Kluyveromyces lactis: one gene and its partners. The protein of the gene in region 4 binds, or shares a complex with, the protein of the main gene of each other region. Links are inferred from orthologs where the notes say so. Each region holds a gene or a part of one and is shown on either strand. Other genes may lie near its edges. The genes, in order: HRT3, PFU1, DCN1, CDC53, KLLA0_F19943g, CDC4 and LUG1.

What was found.
Region 1: CDC53 (region 4) and HRT3 share a complex: the UniProt entries of both Saccharomyces cerevisiae proteins name them as parts of the probable SCF(HRT3) complex. The link is inferred for Kluyveromyces lactis from reciprocal best matches to the Saccharomyces cerevisiae genes CDC53 and HRT3.
Region 2: CDC53 (region 4) and PFU1 share a complex: the UniProt entries of both Saccharomyces cerevisiae proteins name them as parts of the probable SCF(YDR306C) complex. The link is inferred for Kluyveromyces lactis from reciprocal best matches to the Saccharomyces cerevisiae genes CDC53 and PFU1.
Region 3: the proteins of CDC53 (region 4) and DCN1 are in contact, whole or in part, in a crystal structure (PDB 3O6B), measured with the Saccharomyces cerevisiae proteins. The link is inferred for Kluyveromyces lactis from reciprocal best matches to the Saccharomyces cerevisiae genes CDC53 and DCN1. Residues at the interface, in NP_010150.1 of Saccharomyces cerevisiae: His767, Val786, Ser787, Lys790, Arg791, Asp794, Ile797, Gln798, Arg804, Gly805, Asp806, Asp807, Gly808, Glu809, Tyr811; in NP_013229.1 of Saccharomyces cerevisiae: Asp181, Ser224, Asp226, Arg229, Met230, Leu233, Arg237, Glu250, Thr251, Ala252, Ala253, Trp254, Pro255, Phe256, Ile257, Asp259.
Region 5: CDC53 (region 4) and KLLA0_F19943g share a complex: the UniProt entries of both Saccharomyces cerevisiae proteins name them as parts of the probable SCF(YDR131C) complex. The link is inferred for Kluyveromyces lactis from reciprocal best matches to the Saccharomyces cerevisiae genes CDC53 and YDR131C.
Region 6: CDC53 (region 4) and CDC4 share a complex: the UniProt entries of both Saccharomyces cerevisiae proteins name them as parts of the SCF(CDC4) complex. The link is inferred for Kluyveromyces lactis from reciprocal best matches to the Saccharomyces cerevisiae genes CDC53 and CDC4.
Region 7: CDC53 (region 4) and LUG1 share a complex: the UniProt entries of both Saccharomyces cerevisiae proteins name them as parts of the probable SCF(YBR352W) complex. The link is inferred for Kluyveromyces lactis from reciprocal best matches to the Saccharomyces cerevisiae genes CDC53 and LUG1.

Annotation. Positions count from the first base shown.
Region 1 is NC_006042.1:1,812,962-1,815,794, forward strand, and holds HRT3 (SCF ubiquitin ligase complex subunit HRT3), read right to left. Parts: upstream 1,551-2,833; coding exon 501-1,550; downstream 1-500. Other genes in the region: CHA4 (Cha4p), read right to left, coding at 1,988-2,833. UniProt on the Saccharomyces cerevisiae protein: Substrate recognition component of a SCF (SKP1-CUL1-F-box protein) E3 ubiquitin-protein ligase complex which mediates the ubiquitination and subsequent proteasomal degradation of target proteins. Probably recognizes and binds to phosphorylated target proteins.
Region 2 is NC_006039.1:871,053-874,215, forward strand, and holds PFU1 (Pfu1p), read left to right. Parts: upstream 1-1,382; coding exon 1,383-2,663; downstream 2,664-3,163. Other genes in the region: BEM4 (Bem4p), read right to left, coding at 1-921; HNT2 (bis(5'-adenosyl)-triphosphatase), read left to right, coding at 2,896-2,952, 3,063-3,163. UniProt on the Saccharomyces cerevisiae protein: Substrate recognition component of a SCF (SKP1-CUL1-F-box protein) E3 ubiquitin-protein ligase complex which mediates the ubiquitination and subsequent proteasomal degradation of target proteins. Probably recognizes and binds to phosphorylated target proteins.
Region 3 is NC_006040.1:1,374,487-1,377,147, reverse strand, and holds DCN1 (NEDD8 ligase DCN1), read right to left. Parts: upstream 1,496-2,661; coding exon 1,358-1,495; intron 1,269-1,357; coding exon 501-1,268; downstream 1-500. Other genes in the region: TAF12 (Taf12p), read right to left, coding at 1-219; APC2 (anaphase promoting complex subunit 2), read left to right, coding at 1,610-2,661. UniProt on the Saccharomyces cerevisiae protein: Required for neddylation of cullin components of SCF-type E3 ubiquitin ligase complexes. Neddylation of cullins play an essential role in the regulation of SCF-type complexes activity.
Region 4 is NC_006042.1:536,552-540,720, reverse strand, and holds CDC53 (cullin CDC53), read right to left. Parts: upstream 2,801-4,169; coding exon 362-2,800; downstream 1-361. Other genes in the region: SRF1 (phospholipase D regulator), read right to left, coding at 3,616-4,169. UniProt on the Saccharomyces cerevisiae protein: Core component of multiple cullin-RING-based SCF (SKP1-CUL1-F-box) E3 ubiquitin-protein ligase complexes which mediate the ubiquitination and subsequent proteasomal degradation of target proteins.
Region 5 is NC_006042.1:1,856,424-1,859,853, forward strand, and holds KLLA0_F19943g (uncharacterized protein), read right to left. Parts: upstream 2,082-3,430; coding exon 501-2,081; downstream 1-500. Other genes in the region: FIN1 (Fin1p), read right to left, coding at 1-296; KLLA0_F19965g (uncharacterized protein), read right to left, coding at 2,971-3,430. UniProt on the Saccharomyces cerevisiae protein: Substrate recognition component of a SCF (SKP1-CUL1-F-box protein) E3 ubiquitin-protein ligase complex which mediates the ubiquitination and subsequent proteasomal degradation of target proteins. Probably recognizes and binds to phosphorylated target proteins.
Region 6 is NC_006040.1:647,484-651,116, forward strand, and holds CDC4 (SCF ubiquitin ligase complex subunit CDC4), read right to left. Parts: upstream 2,445-3,633; coding exon 501-2,444; downstream 1-500. Other genes in the region: KLLA0_D07568g (FAD-dependent oxidoreductase), read left to right, coding at 3,143-3,633. UniProt on the Saccharomyces cerevisiae protein: Substrate recognition component of a SCF (SKP1-CUL1-F-box protein) E3 ubiquitin-protein ligase complex which mediates the ubiquitination and subsequent proteasomal degradation of target proteins. Recognizes and binds to phosphorylated target proteins.
Region 7 is NC_006037.1:218,874-222,945, forward strand, and holds LUG1 (Lug1p), read left to right. Parts: upstream 1-1,272; coding exon 1,273-3,627; downstream 3,628-4,072. Other genes in the region: mitogen-activated serine/threonine-protein kinase KSS1, read left to right, coding at 1-807. UniProt on the Saccharomyces cerevisiae protein: Substrate recognition component of a SCF (SKP1-CUL1-F-box protein) E3 ubiquitin-protein ligase complex which mediates the ubiquitination and subsequent proteasomal degradation of target proteins. Probably recognizes and binds to phosphorylated target proteins.

The DNA of each region.
Region 1 (2,833 bases), about 1.3 Mb from region 4:
TGCCTGCGTCCAAAATACCCTTTTATAATTAGATGGGTACTTTATAAATCTATCAAACGCAACAAATCTAGGTATACTTGTACCTCGAATCTCCATGCACTCATATATCAAACTCCGCAGATCTAATAGTCCAGCTAATAGTCAACGCTGTAATAACTCGATATAGCAACTTATATCACTCAATGGCTATATGTTTTTCTGCAACGCACCTCCAATAATTCATTCACATTACATTGTTGGACCTTACTATAAACTAAGATGTACTCTGTGATGTTTTCCGGTAATCGAGCTTTTCGTCAGTTTCTATTGAAATCCGGACGCTCTGGACATTTTCACATGGAGAGGATTTAAAGTCACGTGTAAGAAGATATCACGTGAACGGGCTTTTCTCGTATATCGTCTATCACTTAGCATCGCGCGAGCTACAAGTATCCACTCATTAGTCGTGATGGAAGTACAGCTCTCTGGCTGTTATAGTAATCAAATATGACAGCCCTGATCTAGCAGTCACGGTATGACTTCGCCTTCGAGAAATGAAATGGTTTTTCTTTGCTCAATGAGAACTGCATTGTTGTGCCGTCTTGCCTCGTTGCAGAAGAAGCAATCCATTTCAACTTGCTGAACTTCTTGTGACCTCTGTTTGAGATTTTCAAGATCTCGTTAAATTCAAGCCCATCTTTTCTTCTATTCCTCTTGATTGTCAACTGATCAAGGCCGTCGTCTAATGACAGGGACCACGAACATATATCTGAGTCTTTTCTTTCAGAACATCTTTCTAAAGAGAAACCAGGTACCACTATATTTGGTTCGTCAGTAGTCAATAATCTAATGCATCTTCCATCTGGATAGAATCTGAAGTACCTGTAATAAGTGATCATGTGGATTGGGTTCAACAGCGAAGATGATCCTTCCGGGATCGATCCGTGCCTCAAATAATTCACCACACTGATATATATTCCATGGAACTTGATATACGGCCGTTCCTTTAGCATCTTTCTATAATTTTGACCCCATACGGTTTCTGCTAGTGCTTGTATATCTGATATACCGTTTAGCCTCATCTCATTTTCGTTGTATACTTGCTTCTTATAGATGTATTCCGCGAAAGTCCGGTACGGTGAGGAATCGTGGAAGCATAGCAAATTAAACTTTTTACAAGTCAAAGATAGGTTCATCCACGAGTCTGCTGAGCTTAACACAACCATGTCTATAATCATGGATAATATATCGTCAGGGAGCATATCCAAAATCCAGCAGGGAAGTTCAACAAGGTCTTCAGTTTGAGAAAGTCCTTCAGTTTCCTCTTTTCTGCCGTCCGGATCAGTTTCCGATGAACCATCAACAATATTGACATTAGAATTGAGCTTAAGCTTTTTCATCTCTTCATTTAACCGCCATTCATCATGCATCTTCTTTCTATATAGTTTCTCAACGTCCGGATTCATCCTTAATGCTTTACGGTAATATTTGATCGCGTCGGTCATAGCACCGGCAGTTTCCTTCGAATAGCCCAACTCCCATAGTGCTATAGCTTCAATCGGTTCCTCCATTACGCGTTGTTATTTTTCGTGCGTTAGGCCCCTTGGTAATGAGTATGCTTCCTCTCTCTTTTACCTTATATAGCCGACTAGCTTTTTATGCTGTTTACGTTTTGTTCAGCTTTACGCAACAGGAACGAATATAAAGTTACTACCGAGAGATGGACAAGTACGCACAATGTTGAAAAATATGAAGTGGATTCCTTGTCAGTAGCTGCCATCCTCAGCAAATCGGATTTCTTGATTCTTATCTGACTAAAAAGTAATATTAAGTACATGGCATATTTAATATATGAAGAGCTATATAACTTCAAAGTTCATTAATATGTGAATATCACAAGAAACACAGTCGATAAATCATAAATAGCCAGTCCTTCAAGATCTGGTGCATCAATGAAAAGCAGGAACTAAAACAAAGTGCAAAGTGTGTAGTGCTGTATAGATGCTGCTTATTTCATTGTTATGTCACCACCGATTAATTTATCGATTTCATTCAATAAAGTAAAATCAAAATTATATTCAAAGGCAAATTCATTACCATTAGATAAACTTCCCAAGAGTGCAGTGTTTTCAAGTCCAGTATTAGCATTTATATTGCTACTTTTTGACATTTTCATTTCATTATCGTAAAATTTCTTGGCTAGCTCGTAGTTCAATGACGGAGATCCTAGAAATTCCAAGAATATCGAAAGATTGTCCTTCTTAATTGAACCAGTTTTTATGCACTGAATTGCAAGAATCGAAGAATACAGCATATAAATGTTACTTTTCTGGAATGTTTTGAATTTTCTCATAAACGATCTTAATAAAAAGTACAACTCTTCAATTGCGTTTTCTATCGCCTGTTTACTCTCAGGAAGTGAATCAATAAACGGTTTGTTGTAGGACAAAAGGATAACAAAATAATGATACCATACATGAGCCAAAATAGGATTGTAATCGAAGTTGATTAGCGTTGCCTTAGTGAGAGCAAACTCATCAGGTAGATTCTTACGCCAGTTTGAAACTTCACTGTTGAATTTTGTTAGATATTCCCTTCTTTCCGTTAAAGAACCGGCATGTATGAATATCTTCGGGGCGAAAACCTCAGTTATTCTTGATAGCACAATAATCTTTTTTAAAGGTTTGGCAATAGAAGTTACAATTGTAGGATCGTATTGGTAATCTTCGATACCAGTATCAATATTTGGTAGCTCATCAGTTTCTGGAATTGTCGAATTTGACACACGCAAAGAATTTGAACGACCAAACAATACTGCAATCAAGTGATCGGCAATGTAACAGCCCCAGTATAT
Region 2 (3,163 bases), on a different chromosome or scaffold from region 4:
AAATTCTTTTGAGCCTAGATTTTCGAGTGATGTTAATAGATTGTGTTGGAGGATAGAAGTGTTGACCTCATCGGAAAAATTGTAATCCTCAGGTTCAGAAGTCTTCAATATACAATGTGAGATATTATTGACCAAGCTGGGTAAAAATGTATCTTCCTCTTCATCTTCAACTTCTTCAATTTGCGCATCATTTTTCGAAGTATCAATTTCTCCAGAATTGCAAACTGCTATATTGGAAGTGCTTTCAATGCATTTACAGACTTGAATTAAAACTTCAGAAAGGGAAACGAGCTGAACCAAAGATAAAAACTTCTTATGATCTACAAAGGAGCATAAGAGGTCAAAAGAAGTTCCGACAAGTAGGTTGTACTGTTCGTCTAGAAATACATTTTTCATAGAAATAATCAATTTGAAAAGTGGGACAGCTACTCTTCTTGCTGCTCTTTCATAATAGGTATCGTTATCCATGGCCAAGTTAGAAATTAAAACAACTGTCCTCAATTGCAATTTAACAACGTAGTCTTCCTCGTCAAATAGACCAAGTATCCTGCCAGCGTAGTAGTCGATAAATTCGTTATGTTTGGTACAGTCGCCATTCCAAAATACCTCCCTATTAGCATCATTATCAACCAGGCAATTTGCAATGGATCTTACTAATTCTGAAGAGATTTGAAGAAATTGTATCCGTTTACTTGATTCTTGGAATGCATAATCCAAAAAGGAATTTAGTACCCTCAACAATTGACTTAATAGACCAGTTTCTCTAATAAGGTCTCTGTTTGATTCAGCACGTAGATGCACCGCTAATTGTTCAAGAACTGTAATATAACTTTGTAAAAAGACGTCCTGGACAGGAACATCCTTTGGATTAGCTGCATTGAGCAATGGTTGCAAACCAAATAGTATCTGCTCATATTCCATTTTTGGACAATGGACTATGGGCTTTAATCGTGGTTATCATTTTTATAAAGTGGACAGTCTCGCCAAGACCGCACTTTCAATGATCGATCTTTAAACATACAATTGCTGACTTTTTAAGATTCTACTCATAAATGTCAACAACACACATAGGTAAACAAGAAAGGTAAGGTCATAAAATAATACTGGTTTGACAACCCATGACTAGAATTCTCTCGAATATTATCTTGATTATGGCATGAGTTAACAGGACTCGGTAAGTGACCTTCTGTAATAGGTCAGATGACCTATTATTTCATACACATAATAATACTTTCGGTAGCTGCAAACACTTTTAAATAGTGAAAAATCGCAAAAGTTGAGCATTAGTAAAAGCATCGACTAATTGCTAAGAAACTAATAAGGTAAGTAATATATTTCACATAGTCCATCTATGAGAACATATCCGACGGCTTCAAGAAACTATGGCTAATAAAAGAAGGCCAAAGAAAGTAAAGCCTCCTTATAGAAAATATGTTGGCGGTGTTGGATTCACACACACTCAAGGGTTCAGTCAAATAGCTGAAGAAAATGACACAACGAATATCCAAAAGTTTAATGAATTACAAATAAACGAAATACGTAATCCTTCTGATAGCGAGGAATCACGACTACAGGGAGATTCTGTCCGATCAGATGTAACTGATTACGGTGGTATGAAGCTTCCACTAGAAATATTTGACCTTACGATTTCTATGATGAGTCCGCAAGATATCAGGATGAACTTAGTGCTAGTGTGTCGAGCATGGTATCTTATATGCATACCAAAATTATATCGTACACCAAAGTTAACTAGTCGAAACTTTTTAAAGTTTGTGGAAACGGTATTGGCAGATAGGAAGAGAAAAACATGTGAGCACGTAGTTCATTTGGATTTATCTCCTATTATACAGAGTGGGAAGAATAGCTATGTGTCAAAAGTGCTACGACGTTGCTCTAAAAATTTGGTTTCATTTACAGCGCCACAGACTAGTTTTGGAATAGCTCCTTTGATCAGTCTTAAATCCTGCCAAAACCTTAAATACCTTGATTTAGGATTGGTATCAGAAACAGTCAATTTAAAAGAATTATTCTTGGCGATCAAAAACTTCCATGAGTTAACACATTTATCGTTTCCAAGAAGTTCCATTCAATGTGACGGATATAGAGACTTCCAATGGCCCCCAAATTTACAATATTTGAAGCTCAGTGGTGGGATCACAAATGAGTTCGTGCAAGAAACGATATTTCCTAATACCATCAAAATCTTAGAGTTTTCATTTTGTCCCCAAATTAATGAACATTCAATATACACAGTATTGGCCAAAATTGGTGATAATTTGACACAACTATACTTCCATTATCCAATGCCAGCCTTAAAGGACAATTCCTTGGATCATGTATTCAGGTACTGTTCCAATTTAAAAGTACTACAACTAATGATAGATTATTGCACCAGATGGGTTTTCAGTGAATACTTCTTTACGCAATTACCATATCCTCGGCCGCTTAGAACCCTCATATTGGAATGTAGCGGCCACCTTGGTCAAACATTCAAAGTACATCCTGATGACTTAACTATAGCGATATGTGAGGGTAGATTGCCTTGTTTAAAAATTATCCGAATTTCTTCTAGGCTAGGTTGGGACTCTCAAGGCGATGACGTCGGCGATTTAGTCTCGAGTTTGGAGGAAGAAAACGGCGGGAGCATGTATATCACATACTGAATGCAGTGAAAATATATAACACATAAAATTGATAGAATTTGGACATTTAATAGCCACAGTGCTTATCGGTTAGAATGAATACTCTTATTCAGAGTGCTATTAAATCCTATGCGTACCTTTACGTTGCATCAAAGCCTAAGAAAAATACATTTTTATTTAGATGTCGGATCTTGGCTAAGAATGGTTTACTTTAAGGACAAAAAGATAGGGCCGCAGCCAACAGTGAATCAGAATGACTGCAGGTTCCATCTTTTTCAGCAAGTTTGTTGTTACAAAACAAGTTTTCTACGTATGTGAAATACCATGTAGAGGATATACTTTAATTAGCAAAGTGCAATTATTGCTTTGAGTGATACCTTCAATTTACTAACCGTTGAATTCACTACTCAATAACTTCAGAAAACTAAATATTCATACGCGTTGGTGAATTTAAAACCTTTATTTCCGGGCCATGTGCTAGTTGTGCCGTTGCGTACCGAATGCCTTTCTCTCTCTGATCT
Region 3 (2,661 bases), on a different chromosome or scaffold from region 4:
TGCTCCAGCCTGCGCTTGGGCCTGCTGCTGCCTCTGTTTACTGTAAGCCTCGTACAAAGCCTTAATACGGGCCGCTTGTCTCAATAGCTCTTTCCCTTCCTTGGTATCTACACCAATTCGCTTAGCTTCGTTAACTAACGATTTTAGTCTATCCGCCAATTGCTGCATAGAAGCTGGCGTGAGGTTCTGCAGCTGTACATTACCTGCTTGGCCTGACATTGTCCGTATCTTGGTTCGTAATCCGAAATGCACACCGCAAGCCCACTTTAAGTGTCGAAATACCCTCGTGCTGGCCTTCTTTGCCCCCGTTTTGCCCTTGCTTTAACCTCGCGGCAACTACTTTCGATTGTTATTCACTTGTTGATCTTTGAAATATTTTTGAATTTTGATGCTGAAAGGAATAGGAAGACAAGTGTTACCCTGACAACATACACAATGCGTATATATGAATATATGTATCTATGAATATGTTCATAAGCGATATAGGTGTTTGCGCTGCATCACAGCTTGTCATTTTCTTCCAAGAATTCGTAATATTCGTCTATAAGTAGCGGCCAAGCAGCCATTTCATCATAGTTTTGTTTTAAACTTTCGTCATTGGGGTATTGTTCAATGAACTTATAGAACATCAACCATATATCGTTTGAGATGTTCTGTTTCCTTGGATCCGAGTCGTCAGAATTGATGAATTCAAGCCATGAATTAAGTCTCTCCTTGGAGATTTTCAACGCATATTTATTGTCTTTAAAGAAAATATTCCAGTATTCTATTGCGACATCTTTAGGTAAATGACGAGATCCCTCGTCTGTATTCAATGGGAAAGTGTAGGAATAGATTGATTTGAAATAATCTTTGTCCGTCTCCAGTCTCTCTTCTAGCGTATGTAAATAGGCTTTCATCTTTCTTAAAGTGTCGCAACATAAATCTGACCAGGCATTTAGGAATTGTTCTCGAGATACTGGTTTTGTTAAATCGTCGATGCATAGCATTTGAGAAAGACATAGCGTGATTGGGTCCTCTATCGATATACCGAGGTCTTCAATAAACCGTATTAGCCCAGAAGAGTCCCATTCTGTTGCCGAAACGCCATTCGAGTACTTCTCAAAGATAGCCACTAAACTGGGATTGTAAGATTGACGCATACCTCCAATGGTATCCACATTATCATAATAATCGTTCAAAGCGTACTCGACACGCCCTCCATTCTTTCGAAGGTATTCCTGTGCAACAGAGTACGTGCATCCTGTGAGGTTCATGAACTCTTTCTCCTATTTTTCCAAATGATTATTTGATTAGCATTTGTTAGTAAAGGTGTCATTCACCTGACCAGAGGGTAGAGGCATAGTAAAAAACATACCATTATAAAAACACAATACGATGAAATTTCTGAAGGGTTGTTATCCACGAGTAAATGATCGCTTGCTCTGGCGTTTTGTCGCGAGTAGATTGCTTTCTTCTTTACCCTAAAACTCGAAACGAATATGAAGTAAAACATGTAATTTCACTTAAAATGAACTTGTCTGTATATTTAAAATATGTCAACAAACGTAATGGTCATAGTGAAAAGTGATGAGAAGCAGGACTAAAGGGACCCAGCACCGTTGACCGAATGACTAAGACTGATGACGAACTTAAATTACTTCATGAGAAAATTCTACTTAACCTAGCTTCGAATTTAGAAGAAGAGGTAGATATGGTTCTTGCGTGGCTCAATCCCACATTCCAACCACAAATACCGACATTACGAATTAAACAATGTTTGAAAGTTGTGTTAGAGCAGAGCGATGAAAGAACGCGGTTTCTCATCGAGCAGTACTACCTCACGCTTATACGAACGCATTTCTTCTTACAATTTGATGATATAGTCAACTGGAAGGATATGATCAAGCTAGAGAAACTATACATATCTAAGGTCGAATTCATGTTTGGAACGTCAGTATACTGGATAAAGGAGGAGATGATTTCATTCAAACGGTTGTTGATGAAAAAGAATAATGAATTCAGGAAACAATTGCATGCGAAATTAGAGTCACATATTCTCGATAATGATCTAGTTAGGTTTGATCAAATGTATCAATGGTTGGCACCGGCATTTGATGGACAAGAGATTGAGTTCAATGTTAGGATAATAAACCTAAAAGTAGATCAGATGTCACAGAAACTAATGAAAAATAAGATTGACGATCGATACTTAGTAATGAACACTTATAACCATTTCATCAAAGATTTTTGGTCCAAGTTCTCCAAGTTGTTGATTATAGAAGATGATCATGAATTGACAGCCATAATATATCAATCTTTCGAGAAAAACTATATCAAATATAAATGCGACGAGTTTTATACGGATATTGTACCGAAATTTCCTGCTTCGAGGAAATGCTTGCTTGAATTGAGGAGCATCCTGAATAAAGACATAAAAACTGTCGGCACAAAAGTGCTTGAGACCTTATATCACGGATTTGTATCAAGGTTTCTCACCTCAAGTCTTTTAACTTGCGAAATACTGTATTATTACATTAAGACGGTGAAATGTTTAAAGATAATTGATCCGATGGGCATTTGTCTCCGATCGCTATCAAAGGCGGTAAGAGTATATTTGAATCCAAGACCGGATATTATAAAAACGCTACTACTCGGGATATTTCCATTCCAAAATAATGA
Region 4 (4,169 bases):
ATGACCAATTTTCGTGAATATTCCTGTGGATTTTAAATCCGATGAACGTAGATTTTTGCAGCAGGTATTGACAAACACCTTCCGAATGATGCTAAGGTAGTCACTGAGAGTAGTGAGAGCAGCAAGAGAGCAGAGAGGGCTACCCAAGCATTTAGGTTTGGCTATTGAGTAATGAATAGTATACTCGTCGGTCCTTTCATGATGTCTCTCTTTTTTTCTTGGGAATATTCATGCTTGAAAATATGGGGCCCAAGGTTGACCTTTGGTCGAATGGTCGAATGGTTGCGAAATATATGTTGATACATATACATTTCTTATACATATGTATGGCGAAGTAAAAGGTGGATAAAAAAGTGAGCGTTTACGCTAGATATTCATAGCATTCACCGTCGTCTGTCCTTTTCAAATACTCTTGTTCTATTAGATTGTCGACAGCTTTTTTGATCATGGACACCTTGGCGTTGAATCTCTGTTGAGATTCGGCAATACACTCGTTCATCAATGAACTGTGTGGTAGTTTTCTCTTTGCCTTCATAATTCTCACTATGCATGCTCTTAAGAACATCAATCTTTGTTGATTTAGTTCCTTTTCTGCTTTCTTTTGCTCAGATGCCTCTGTTTCATCTAATGCAGATCCATTAACGGTTGCAGTAAAGGTTAGATCATTTTTCACAGCGGCTGCAAAATTAACACTAGTTTTCGATAATCGATAGGGTTTGTTTAAGGTGTACTTTGTATCTAACTTGATCATACTTTCCACCCCTTCTGGAGATTGTATTAATAGTTTCATCTTCACAAACGGATACATATTAGACGCAATCTGTGTAGCCTTCAAATTGGTTCTCTCTTGTATTTGTTCAAAGGTCAACGTAGATATATCATTAAACAAGGTAAGAATCGCCATTTGGAAAATAGTCACAGTGAATTGGAATGGTGGTTTGCCTGGTTTACCAATATGTGCCTTGATTTCACCACGAGACATTGGCCATAGCCATTTCAATATTCTACCAGAATGCTTGTCAGTATACATGGTTTCCAATTTGTTCTTACTATGTTCAAGAACTGGTGGTAATGCGAATTCTGTTGGTTGATAGCTGAAGGGCCATACATTGTCTGCAAGAATTAGAGGTTCTAATTCAGGAACTTTGCTTCTGAAAGTTGCGGCGCTAGTAGTATTATTCCCATCTTGTGAAATGAACGTGGAAAATTCATCATGCAAGTTTTTAGATAATTTGACATCTTGTAGCATCTTGGTAATCTTGCTGGTGTATTCAAGACTGTTCTCGGACTGTAGTCTTTGGATAATGATTTCTTCATCAGCTTCTGATTTTGATGATCCATGAATTAATCTTTTTGCTAAATTTTTTCGGTAATGCATCTCAAATGCATCCTTGTCGGCCAAGAACTTAAAGACAGTCATGATATCATCCACGGTCAAATCTACCTGTTCATTATTCTTGGTCGACTTTTTGAGCAACTGGTCACTGTATTTCGCCAACATCTCAGGAGCTCTAGAAGTCGCAAATTTAGGTGAACCAGGAGGAATAGCGAATGAGTTATTGTTAATGAAGCAACGGCATCCATAGTCTAAAGCCTTAGCAAAAGCAGGATGATTTTCAAAACATTCTATGGTGATATTGTAAAAGAGTTTGTAAACTCCTATTAAACATTTCAAGTAATCTCTAGGTGATAATCCCGGTTGCCTTTTAGCGTTTGAATCTTGTGCTGCACTCTTATTATGTGCATCAATTAATTTATCGATTTCTTCATTTCCGACTCTCTTGATGTACATATCAAAAGTATCCACCAAATCTGGTAACATTCGGTAATCGCGTTTCATCAATTCGTATATGAGCTTAATCAATCTTTGATCTTGCTTATCCAAAAGTAAAATAAACTCTTTTTTTAACTTATCGGCATGATCAGCAATCAAAACTTGGTTCAAAGCTGTAGACAATGGTGCCGATGTATGGGAATCCAAATATAAAATCATGTCCTTTTCTTCGAAGATTATGCATTCATTTGCCTTTTCGATGTATTCAGAGACACTGTGAGAGTCTAAGAATTCGTTGGACATCTTCGTGTAGTATTCTTTTGTCTTCTGTAGGAATGGCTGTTCGAAGTTTTGAATATACACATTCAAATTCAACTTCTTTAAGTCTGATGGATCGATACCTAATATCACAAAGGATTTTATTGCTATTGTAATAGCAGATTTATTCACTAATTCACCCCTCCGCTGCAAATCCAATTGATCGAATATTTCAGTAACGAGTTCCGTCTTATGTGTTTCAAACATAACTTCTTTCCACGTCATCAAGCACAAAGTATGTGCATCGAAAATGTGTCTTTTACCATCGCTTCTTTCCTTTTGCACCCAGTAACGGTTCATATAGTCGAAGACCCGATTTAAGAAAATAGCTCCGATTGTAAATCTTTCCCAGCGTCTCACGTAGAAATTCAAAAACGTTACATTATCATCTTTCTTTAAATTCGATATGTAATCTTTCAAATAATTCTTTAAGTTCTCATAGATTTCTCCTCCAACAAGAATCGAAGATTGATTCATTTGCTTCCCTATAATATCAGATTGGAAATGACCTGTAGAACGTGACTTGTTGACACAGTAATTATAAATCGCCGTGTATACCTCCATGTACATCCTTGGGGAAAGAACTTTCTGAACTCTGTTTGTCTTTATATCCGATGTACCATCACGATCCAAGATCTGGTCGATCCCAGGCTTCACAAAGTTCCATGTTGCTTCCAAATCATCTGATCTAGGTAATGTGTCTGCCATAGCTTATTAGACTTGTTTCTTATTGATTGCACGTGTAGTTTCTTTTACCAGTAATATTTCTATTGAACGATGCCTAAGTTATCTTTTCTGAAGCGTTAATGAGACTTGCTTCCCACTAACCCAGTTAAATATACGCTTTAGAATAATAGTATTCCCAAGGGCGCAGGTAGCGGTACTTGTAAATAAAGATTTGGTAGTAAACTGAAATCAGCAGCGATAGAAAATACAGTTCGAGTCCCAATTAGTCGAGCAACCCTTTTCAATGAATCGAAAGAAAGGATAAAACAGAATAGAAAGCGCCTTCACTGCTAAATATGAAATGCACCACTTGTTGGCGGGATCCTATAAAAAAGGGTCACACAGGAAAACTTTATATTGCTTCTATCGTGAAGTATCTCCGAGTTGTTCGATATTTTGACCCTTTTTGACAGCCTTACTTGTTATATACTGATTTATATAATTGCATACTATGTTACTATAATTTCTTATATTTTTGTTTTCGTTTGCCACACATTATTGGAATATCAAAAAATCCTGAATTGTTCCTCAATATGAATCTGATCTTATTATTAAAGTACTTAAAAGAGGGTAAGGATTACAGCTTTCGGCAAATATACTTTAGCATACTGCAGTCGTCTAATTATGTTGTTTAATACAGGGCCCAAACTTATATGTTTATAAGGTTTTCTTTGGTACTTTTGATTTTCTTTTGTTGGGTTTGTAAACAAATTATGTACTCTCATGGAATAATGATTTATTTAAAACAATTAATCTACAGGCGTCTTAAGTCGGAAGGGCCCGTTTCAAGAATAGTCTTAGGGTCTTGGAGCACCAGAACTGACTCTTTCCACGACCCTTAATATGCTAATACTGAACGTTACAACCCAAGTGACCAAGACCAAGAAAAGGAACGCCGCGAGCGCCCTTTGTTTGTCACATATATATCCTACGTGCGGAGGATCAACTTGTGACGTTCCAGTAGATGTGCAGACCCATCGATTATCATATAATGTATTGAAGGTAAGCGATAAATTAGCACTTGAAAATATGATGAATAAAAGGTCCAGCATAATTAGTCTGACTTTAGTCATAGGATCTCTAATTCCTAGCGGTTTCCCTGAAAATTCGTCATATCCGATATAAACCAAATATAATATAGCGATGGAATTAACACATAGCGCCATGATAGTACTTGGTTGTTGAGGTATTGATGATTCGAAGGATTCGACAGTGGAATCCGAGTTCTGGTATATTCTACTTGCTAGGCCAAGAGAGATTATGCAGAGTATCACAATGAGAAATCTCAACGACAAAGGTAGATATTGACTTTGCAATAAAAGTCTTCGTAGTCTTGGTAACCATTGTTGTT
Region 5 (3,430 bases), about 1.3 Mb from region 4:
ATCTTCACAACACTGGATTTCTGACGCTCGTATCTATCAAGGCTTAAATTGGGCCCAAGTATATCAGGTGAAGGCAACCTCTTTGGGGTTTGAACTCTTTGTTGTGGTGATAACCTGGCAGCAGGCTTCTCCAGGAGTTTACGATTTCTATTAGGTGATACTGAAAGACGTTTGAAAATTTCTCCACTGGCTGACGAAGGTGGAGACGCATTACTAGAAAGTTCTTGGAGGGGGATTTTGGATGGTGACTCCATTTTGGCAGCTGGTGTCGTCTCTCTTTTGTTTAAAACGATCATTTTTCCCGCAACTACGTCTCATCTCGATTGAATCAAATCCGTTTGTTTACATTTTTTAAACAATCTGTATACACAATATCTCAAAAATCTGGATAATAGTCAGATGCTTTATACCGCAAGAGTATAAAAGTTTATGGTTTGTACAGTTTGTACGAAATTGGAGTCTATGTGTCATGTGCTATGTTGAGTTTATCATCTCTTTCTTTAATCAAATAGTGTTTCATCGTTAATGACTTGGTATACTTGATTACTTTCGTAACCAGATGAATAAAATATTGGCTTCGTAAATTTTTGTTCATCCTGTTCATCAACGATAGTTGGCATATCGTTGATAACCAGTATATGTAACCTGGGGAAGAGTTTTAGAAAGAAGTCGAAAGTTCTCCTCATTGAATGACATATACAATGATACAAAGAAACGATATCTTCCGGAGTTATTTTAGTATCAGTAGTGTCAGATTCATATTCGTAAAACAGGTCATTTAGAAGCTCGTTACTCTTCTTAGCGAGTTCTTCAATTGACTTTGATCTGTATGCAATGCAGGGGGACGTTGTTAGTAAATGGAAATAAGGGATTATTGGGTAGAGTTTAAAGATATGGTTGATGAAATGTTTAGAATGAATATCACTCGAGTTTTGAATCATGAAAGCCTGTTTGGTAGGGAAATATTTTTTGAGAATAATGTCACTGTAAACATGCTTGCAACTATCGCATAGGCACATTTGATTGAGTTCAAATATTGCAAAGTCGTCTAGTTCAATTACGTCAAGAATAGGTTCATCCAAGTCGTCAAATTTACAATCTATGTATTTCAACGTCTTGATGCCAGATAAAATGGTAAGGATGTCTTTAGATAAGACGTGATCAAACATAAAGTCTAACTTCAGTTGTTCCAATCTAGTGAGGTTAGAAAACAAGGATAATAGGAAGTTTTCGTTGTAAAATATAGACAACAACGAAATCTCTTTGAGGTTTTTAAAGTTAGAAAGATCGAACAAACCATACTCTTCGTATACATCCAACGTTTCCGTCTCGTACCACGACAAAATGGAAAGCTTTTCCAAAGTATTCACATCAAATAAATCACTAAATTTTGATGTTCTTGGTGCACTCTCGAATCCTGGAAAAGAATCATTTCGAAGATTTAAACATAGTTCAGTTAACTGTAACTTTTCCGATAGTGGGACAAAGTTTGGGAACCACATGAGTGCATCAAAGTATATTGTAAGGCTCTTGATATTGGCCCAATTAAATTTGTTTGCCATAGATGTTATGCTAGTCAAGTACGAAGCATATGCAGGCCCCGGAAGTTTTGCATGCGGGACTATGTCTAAGGATTTTAACTGCGATGCAAGCTGAGACTTGGAGATCGTTTCGAATGTTTCGATATATAGAAAGTTCTCAAAATAAGTAATATTTGTCGCATGTTCACATATGAGCCCGGTAAACCTTGTCAATAAATTCCGATTTAAATGCCAAGTACAGTGTATCTTATTTATTAGCTTGCAAAGTTCAACGTTCTTGCTTAGAGTATTGAATAGCGCTTGAAACTTAACTGATGATCGCCCTGCTTCAGAAAACACAAGCGTAGACCAGTTGTTGCCAAAATAAGGATATTCTGGGATGTGTATAATTGGTCTTTCGTTCAAATATAGGTTTTGGTAGAGTGACGCCACTGTTTTATCGTAAAGTTGGTGAGATACCATCATCAAGGATGATTTTTCGATTTGAGATAAATATCCCAGTATCTCAAGCCATATTTCGTTCGGAAGCTGTTCGAGCATTTGTGCTGTTATATTAGTGCTGTTTTCATCAATTGAGTGCGTTGTTGCATTCCGTGTGCAAAAGTTAACAAGCGTTTCCTGAGGCTAAGGTAGCATTTGTATTAATTCATCAGTAGCTTACAAATGATTGGCAATGTATAAGAATGTCACGTGAGCGAATGATATGGTTAGTACGAATTTCACAAGAATAAATATCTAGTCCATATTACCCTCCGTGGTTTTATGGACATTTGGTCAATTTGAAACAATACAGAGATGATCAGCAGTTCCCCTGCATAAGGATGAACCGTTTTACAAAGAGATTTAAGATTTTTTTTTACAACTTGAAATGAGCCAAATTCAAAATGGAGTACCAAGCTTTTCGATAATTGAATGATTGGTTAACGAATATGTGTCGCCAGCTGCGACAAGTACACAAAAAAAGCCTGTGAACAATAATACATATATACTAAAAAAAAAAAAACAATGTCTATAATAAAAAACCTCCTCCGTTCGAATCACGAGAGTCGCGTAAAAGCAAAAATAATACAACTTAAAAAGTAAACGTTTTTAAAATGAGATTTGTGACAGCAGTGAACGAGAAGATGAGCAGATTCGACTGGTACTAGCTGGCCAATGTGTCAAACTCCGTAAAGAAAATATGCGACTCCTACATCGAAAAGCTTGAAGAATGAAACTTTAGATAATAGAATGATGCACTGAAAAAATTTGGCTAAGATGAGCTGACAAAGAGGAAGAGGTTAAGAGGATAATGAGAGATGAAATATGCAAATGATGGGAGACGGTGAGAAGATGTTACATAAGTAACAGTTCAGGAAAGCAGTAAAAAAATTCAGTGGAAATAGGTCAAAAATTAAAAACGTCTGACTCTGCGCAAAAAGACTTTCTTTCAGACAAATTGCAAATTCTTATTGAACTGTCTTAAATTTGAGATACAATTCAATTTTAGTGGAAGGAAGATGATATGCTCATTCTTTACCCCCAAGCGCCAAAGTGAGGGCCCTACAACGTATAAGGATAAACCTGGCATCATGCCATCGCCGTTACTGAAATCGTAGATTTGTTCATTGGTTTTGATCTCATCGATTTTCGAGCAGACGTTTTTACATGGCAATCCATTGATAGTCAAATCAGCTATTATCGTGCAAGTGAGGAAAACGTATCCCTTGAAATTAGGATATTCGAATTGAGATTCATTGATATTGCGTTGTTTCCTGATGTCTGTGAACAAACTCTTCAAAATACGGCAGTCCAATGGGTTAGCAACATTGACGTGAATAGTTTTCATTCTCTTATTGAAATAAAGAGTCAAGTCACCGGAATCGATTTGTACCACCAAATCCCTCGGA
Region 6 (3,633 bases), on a different chromosome or scaffold from region 4:
CCAAGACGCTATGCTTGAGTAGGCACTGGAATGTTGCAAGAATAGGTGGACAAAATCGAAAGAGGTACTTATATTGTGTAAATTTGACATTTTTTTCAATGTGCAACTTACTTTTTTCCTCATCGCAAAACACACCCGATTAATTCCTTGGCATAATTTTCCACACCTAGGGATGACCCTATCTTGATAAGAAGACATAGATAGGTAAATGTTGAGAACTGTATATGTCTGGTATAGTAGTCGACTGTATCCACCAGTACTGGGGTGGCTGAAAAGTTTGTAACACGTAGAAATAGTATTGAAACTCCTATATATGTCTTAGGGATAGGTGATGCCGTAGATAAATTAATCATACAACTTTTTTATGTCTGCTGGCATTGAAGAGAAGAGAAGAGAACAAAGATACAGAGGATTGGTATTACAGAGTTTATTTGATGGTAGAATATTTCCATACGGCGAGATACCAGATGTGGTAATGCAAGTTAAATTGATAGTTAATGTTAAAGAGTGGAAGACCAAAGTGACGTTCGATATATTTGATGGTCGACTCTTGTTCTAGTCCGGGTTCTGATAGTCTTGTCACCATTCCGAGCAGCAAAATCCAAGATTTCTACGTAACTGTGTCCCACTGACTCGATCGCAGCGACTAATTTTCTGTTATTTAATTTGATACCCCACACTTGTTCCGAATCTGTGAGTAGCTTCCTGTGTATCAGCTTACCGGTCCTTAAATTATATACATTGAATTGTCGTTCCGATCCACTAACCAAAATGTTATCGTTCATGGAGAATGAAGTGATAGCAGCCAGGTTTGTATGATGGAACGAAAACTTTCTTGAATAATCATTTGGATCCCAGCCGCGTATCGAACCGTCTGCAGCAGCGCTAACCAAAAATTTATTGGATAGGCAAAGTAGACCAACTAAAGCTGTATGTCCATAAAGGCATTTCATGCTTCCAACCACTTTGATCGATGCACCGTCATTGATTGTAGTAGTTGTCCCATTATTTTCAATGTTTTCGAGATCCCAGATCATCACTGTGGTATCCATACTTGCTGATATGCACCTGTTCCTCTTGTAGTCATAAATGGTCGAGTACACACGGTCGGTGTGACCGGTTAGAATATATAGTAATTTCATACTAATGATATCCCATACCATCAAATTGTGGTCATATGAACCACTTATGACAATTCTACCATGACCAGACACTGTCCTTACCGAAGACATGTGGCCTCTTAATACCCCAACAAAATATGGGTTTTCCTCTGGTGTCCTGTAGAAAATAGGTTCCTGCGATCCCTTGTCTAGCTCTTTCATGGGGGGAAGTTTCCACACATGCAAGGTATTGTCTCTAGACCCCGTTACAATGTATTTGCTGTCACCATATTCAACCACTTCTAAACATCTAACCGTCGATGTGTGTCCTTTGAAAACATGGGTACATTTACCAGTTTCGATGTTCCAGATTCTCACACTTCTATCTGTGGAACCACTAACTAAAATCTTACCGTCCACAAATTTCAGTGCCCACACACCGCCCTCATGTCCGTTTAATTCTAATAGGAACAGATCATTCTCAGCGTCATACACGTTGATCTTCTTATCGTCTGCTCCGGTAATAATATAATTGTTTTCAAATTGTAGACATGTTACAACATTGGTACTATGACCATCAAGACAAGTCCTCCCTGGTTTATAGTTTGGATCGTACCAGTTCTGGAGACACCAGTTGTTCTCCAGGAAATCTAATCTAAATCTGTCGTCAGGGTTGATCAAATGCTTATATTTACTGGGCAAACTGTTACAGTACGACGGGAACTGATCTTCGGTGACAAAACCTTCGTTAAGCATTAGCCATTTCCAAACAACAGGCGCCTCCTCGATTAACCTATTCCAATTTCTGTTAACCAACAAACATGCGAAGATGTCTTCCGAAGATAAATTTAATAGGATCTTCACAGTGATTTCATTAGGTAGTGATTGGAACAAATCTCGTTTCAAGTTATCGGTTATTATACTGACCAAATCTGAAAGCTGAGTTCTATCCATGTTGGAAACAAGCCCAAATATAAGACTTGTTAAAGCATTTGGATGAGATGTCGTACTGCTGAGTCTAGCTACTGTAGTCCCTATGACTTCGTCAATACTTGGTTCCTCCACTTCAGGTGTGTGACATGGGGAAGCAATCGGCGATATTGGTAACGGCCCATCTTGATCCTCGATCAAGTTGGGACTGGAAACAGCCTGCTGATTTGGCTTTAACTTTTTGTGATACTGACCGTCGCTGTCAGAATCGTCGTCAAGCTGTTGAAGGGGATAATGTATACTTCGTTTACTCTGAGACGCTGGCTGAGGATGAAGTTGGTACCGGTATGGAACGGGAACATTCTGTAGAGGATACTGTGGTACCCCTGGGGTCGCATGCCTATTGAGATCCATGTTACTTATACCCTTAACTAATGGAAGTTACTTACGACTACCCCACACCTGCCGTTACTCCTTATCTTTCTGCTAAACAATATTCCGTCTGTCAGTCAATATGTTGATGTGACTTCGTTTTGTACAAAGAAATCGTACAAGAGTTTAATTTTGATTTTGGTTGAGAGTGCCGATAACAGTGCAAATAAACATAGATTTGTTGAATCAATGTTATCAGTCCCTATATCTATGCGAGATACTCTCGCCATCTATTAGTTAGCTATTAAACGCTTTGAGGCTAATATATTAAGCTAAACCATTCTATCTTTTAGACCTACATAGGTATTTACCTTGCATGCAACACAGGTCACGTGTTAGAATGTAATTATTACCAGAGCAGCGATCTCGGTTGTAATGGTGATATACGATACTGACAGGACAAAAATGCCTTGAAGCTGTTCCTAGTTAATCTACCGATTTTTTTGGTTAATTCCCGGCGCAAACACTATGTAGTTGGCTGCTTATTACGGGTTAAGATGTGGGGGTTTGAGTCGTCTTTTCTTGTTTGAATGTGATTTCCAATTTGCATAAAAGACGATCGAATGAAACATCTGACTAGATTTACATATGATATGAATAGAAGTTTCATAAATTTGAACAACAGGAAATAGGCAGCCACGGCCGAGGTTTAGTTAATTGAGAAAGCAGAATATTGGAGCATGTCAGTTTGTATAGTTGGTGCCGGTGTTATTGGTTTGTCAAGTGCGCTGAGACTACTGGAAACAAGACCCGATATCAGGACTATAACAATTGTATCCGAACAATTCCCGCAAGATCAGCCAATCAATCATACGTTCACATCACCATGGGCAGGTGCTCATTTTAGACCATTCCCACACAGAGATTCTGATTATGCTTCGGATAAACGTGAGAGTGAATATACCAGAGTGACTTATAACTATTTCAAACGTAAATCTAAGCAGTGGTTGAGTGAGGCCACTGTTGAATTCATGAACGGGATCGATTGGTTAGAAAATCCGAGCATCGAATACCAACGCTTAGGAGCAGGGTATAATGGATCCAGCTTGGAAAAATTCCAACAGCAAGATTCCAACTTGCCTGCAGGTGTCACTTTCGGTTGTAGCTATGAAACGTGGTGTTTGAATGCTCCATTGTATTTACTGTTCCTTTACGACCAGGTAATGAAAAA
Region 7 (4,072 bases), on a different chromosome or scaffold from region 4:
GAGTTGATGGAAACGGATTTGCAGAAGATTATCAACCAACAAAATTTATCAGAGGATCATATCCAATATTTCGTTTATCAAATACTAAGGGCTTTAAAATCGCTACATTCGGCACAAGTAATCCATAGGGATTTGAAACCAAGTAATTTGTTACTGAATAGCAATTGTGATCTCAAAGTGTGTGATTTTGGGTTGGCTCGTTGCCTGGCATCGAGTGATCAATCAAGAGAGAATATGGTGGGTTTCATGACAGAATATGTAGCTACCAGATGGTATAGGGCTCCAGAAATCATGTTGTCCTTCCAAGAATACACAACTGCAATGGATATCTGGTCATGTGGATGTATACTAGCAGAAATGATCATGGGTAAGCCGCTTTTCCCAGGTAAAGATTACCACCATCAACTCTGGATCATCTTAGAAGTTTTAGGGTCTCCAACTTTGGAAGACTTTGAACAAATCAAGAGTAAAAGGGCAAAAGAATACATATCTCAACTACCCATGAAGAAAGGTATACCCTGGGCTAATGTGTTAAATAAAGAAGTTAACCCTCTTGCTATCGATTTATTGTCCAAGATGCTAACTTTCAACCCAGACAAGAGGATCAGTGCAGTTGAAGCGTTGGAACATCCATATTTGGCAACATATCATGATCCAGATGACGAGCCAGATTATCCCCAACTAAACCTTGAAGACAATTTTTGGAAAATTGACAACGAGGCCCGCGATAAAAACGAGGAAGACGATATTCCACTGGAACTGTTGAAAAAGATGCTTTATGGTGAAGTTATGAAGCCTCTAAATTGATATGTTCGATATTCTATGAACTAAAAAAAAACTATCCGCATAGTCTTTGAATGAATGTACTGAGACTCAAGGATTTTACGTTTCATGGGTACTTCTCATTAGGACGCCTAGTCTGTCAAATTGAGGAAAAGTAATACAAGAATTCTCATACTCATATTAGACAATCATATAGTTAATTACATAACTAAGTAAAGCTACGAATAACCACATCACGTTTTTCATACTCTTTGATCCCTTATGAACCTTAAGTGTACTTTATGCCCTGAAATGAAAAATAAAGTAGCGATATAATTAGAATGAACAAGAACTTGAACAAAAGACCCGCATCAATAGAAGAAAAAATGAAAACCAAAGTGGATCTTAAAGAAATCATCAAGAGCACCAAAACAGGTGCAAATAGCTTTAAGGATTGGTGAAGTGTATAAAACGTGTTATTCGGGGCTCGCATATCATAATTCGTTCAATATGATCAGTGAAACATCGACGATGCGGTTACCTTCAGAGATAGTCTATGAAATCTTATCATACCAGTTCAAGGATCTTATGTCTAATGATCACTCAGCTACTAGTGAGAAATATCACTCCAATATCAAAACTTTCTTAGGATCGAACTCTACTGTTAACAGGACATTCCATCATGTATGCAGAGTACTCATTTATAGATATTTGAACTTTACTACAGCAAGGTCATTCCACAAGCTTTTAAACACTTTAAAAGAGGATGATCCTGGATTAAGAAAGTTGGTAGAGGTAGCAGACTTTCAAGAGTTAACATCGATTGGTCTTGGACGGACTGGAGAAATGAATAGGATGATCAAAAACCTCACAAATGAAACTCTTTGGGAATTCTTATTATTGACCAAAAATACGCTAAGGGAATTTCTAGCCAGTGAGCATATTCAGGGAGATATAGACGAGAGGATAGTCCATTTCTTACTTTCTCCTGGAACAGTGTTGAGTGTGGTAGATTTCTGTGGATGTTCCGGATCCGTTTTCACAAAACAGTTTGTTACAGCAGTAGAAAAGATGGCGGCACACCCAAGTTCTCGTGAAAACTTTCAGATTACATGTCTAGGTTTGAATGACTGTACAGACATTCCAGATAATACCCTTTCAAAGCTATTGAACCTTCTGCCGGAGTTACAGAAGTTAGATTTAACGCATACTGCTATTGACGATGGTACTCTAATAAATAATTTACCACATTGGAAAAATTTGACACATTTATCCTTTGGAGAATGTTTGCAATTGACGCCAAGAGGAATTTTGGAGTTCTTTTCATACCATCCAGCTGTAACAGATGAAAATAACAATAGTACGCTACAATGGCTAAACGTGCAAGTGCATCCACATACGTCAACATGGACCGATACGCAGACATTGTTTTTGTTAAAGAAGTTATGTCAATATGGACACAATAAAACGTTGGAATACCTTAACATCGGAGGACTGCCATTGCACTATTCAGATGACCGCACGCTAATCAAAACTCCGCACTATTATCAGTGCCATGATTCCTTACAGTTTATAAAGTTGAATTTTCCAGCATTGAAAAGTTTGAATATAAAGGATACTAATGTACCTTACGATAGAATAATACAGTTCCTATCACCTGTTCATGATAGTGACATCGAGGTTGAACAAAAGTTAAAATTTTTAAATATCTCGAACAACTCCTATATTAATCGATGGACCATCCAGGATCCTGCATTATTCACATGTTCCGATTCTTTAGTGTCATTGGAATTATCATTTGACTCTTGGCAGCAGATTGAAAACCTGAATGATCGTCATGAATTGAACTGTTTCAAAAACAAGACTGGAAGAACATCAATTATTCAAGATATAAAGAACATGGAAAGCGTCAAATGGAAATGTTACATCGATTCATCTTATGGTAGAAGGTATTGGCTATACAAGTGTGACCCATATTTGAATCGTGAAAATATCGACCAAGCAGCCTCATTGACCAGATACGATTCCGATGGGAGAAAGATCATTGAGATCGTAAAGCAACCCGACTTTCTTAAATTCGCCCAAAACAAGATCATGTTAGGATGTGGTATTGTTCCAATGAATTCTGCAAGAAGAAGATTAATATATAAAGACATGAAACCTCCAATTTCAAGATTTTTCAATAGAGATGGCCGGTTCGCCACACCAGGCACACACGCAATGCCTATTCTCTCACCAAGACTCCCACCTGGTGGATGGAGGCTTATCAGAAATGATGACGAGGATACTACTACAGAAGATGACGCAAGTACAATTGAAGAGAATAGTCCAATAATCCATAACTCGTTCCAATCGCTTACTTCGATTCCCGAGACGCGCCCACCTCTTGTGCGAGAAAACACAAGAGATGCCATCTACTGGGACAGATCCGCAACCTCTGCAGATCCCACTCTTACGGAAAGTGAATACGAGAATGCTGAAACGGACTATGATTATTTGAACGATCCTGAACTTCAGAGAAGAAGATCACAGATGAGCTTGTTCAATAGTTATCATCGTTCTTCTTCCAAAAATAACCTCAACAACAACAATAACGGTAACACATCCAATCTGACGAATGCATTCAAGCAACACTCACAGTCTCAATCTCAATCCCAAACGTCTTTGCCACACTACTTGTCCACTCCTTCTTCTGAACACTATAAAAAAAACGACAAAAACAAACTAAGTGCAGATTACGTTTATGACCCTAATGAACCAGAAATGAACAAGCGGTACCGTATCCACTACGAGCAACTGCAAGAATACAAAGTATTTGGCACTGTGGAACGCGGAATGTATCGCTACTATTCTCTCAAGACTTAATCAAGCTTGCCCTTTTTTATGTAAATTGTGAATCATTTGTGACAAATCGCATATACTGTGTCTAGAGAAATTTAAATTTAATAATAAATACACCTCACATCACGCTCGCACAAAGTTTGCGGGCCTCTTATGCAACCCAGTGCTGGTACCTGCATCCCGTCCTATAGCTTCCTTTGTGCAGTTTGGCCATAGACACAGTCAGGGTAGCTGACTGGCAGTTCATTACTATACCTAATTGGGAAATAAATAAACAAAAGGCAACTGTTATGCCTTTTCTGTTCACCCCATTGCTGGGTTCGTAGGAGCTTTTTTTTTTTAGTGCACGATTGTCTCTCGAGAATGAAAAAAAGTGCAATTTAACGACAGGTACTTTCGACTGGCTTCTTTTGGGAAAACCTGATCTAGTAAGAGATGCAAATAGTTTATATTTAGTGTTACAGTGAGT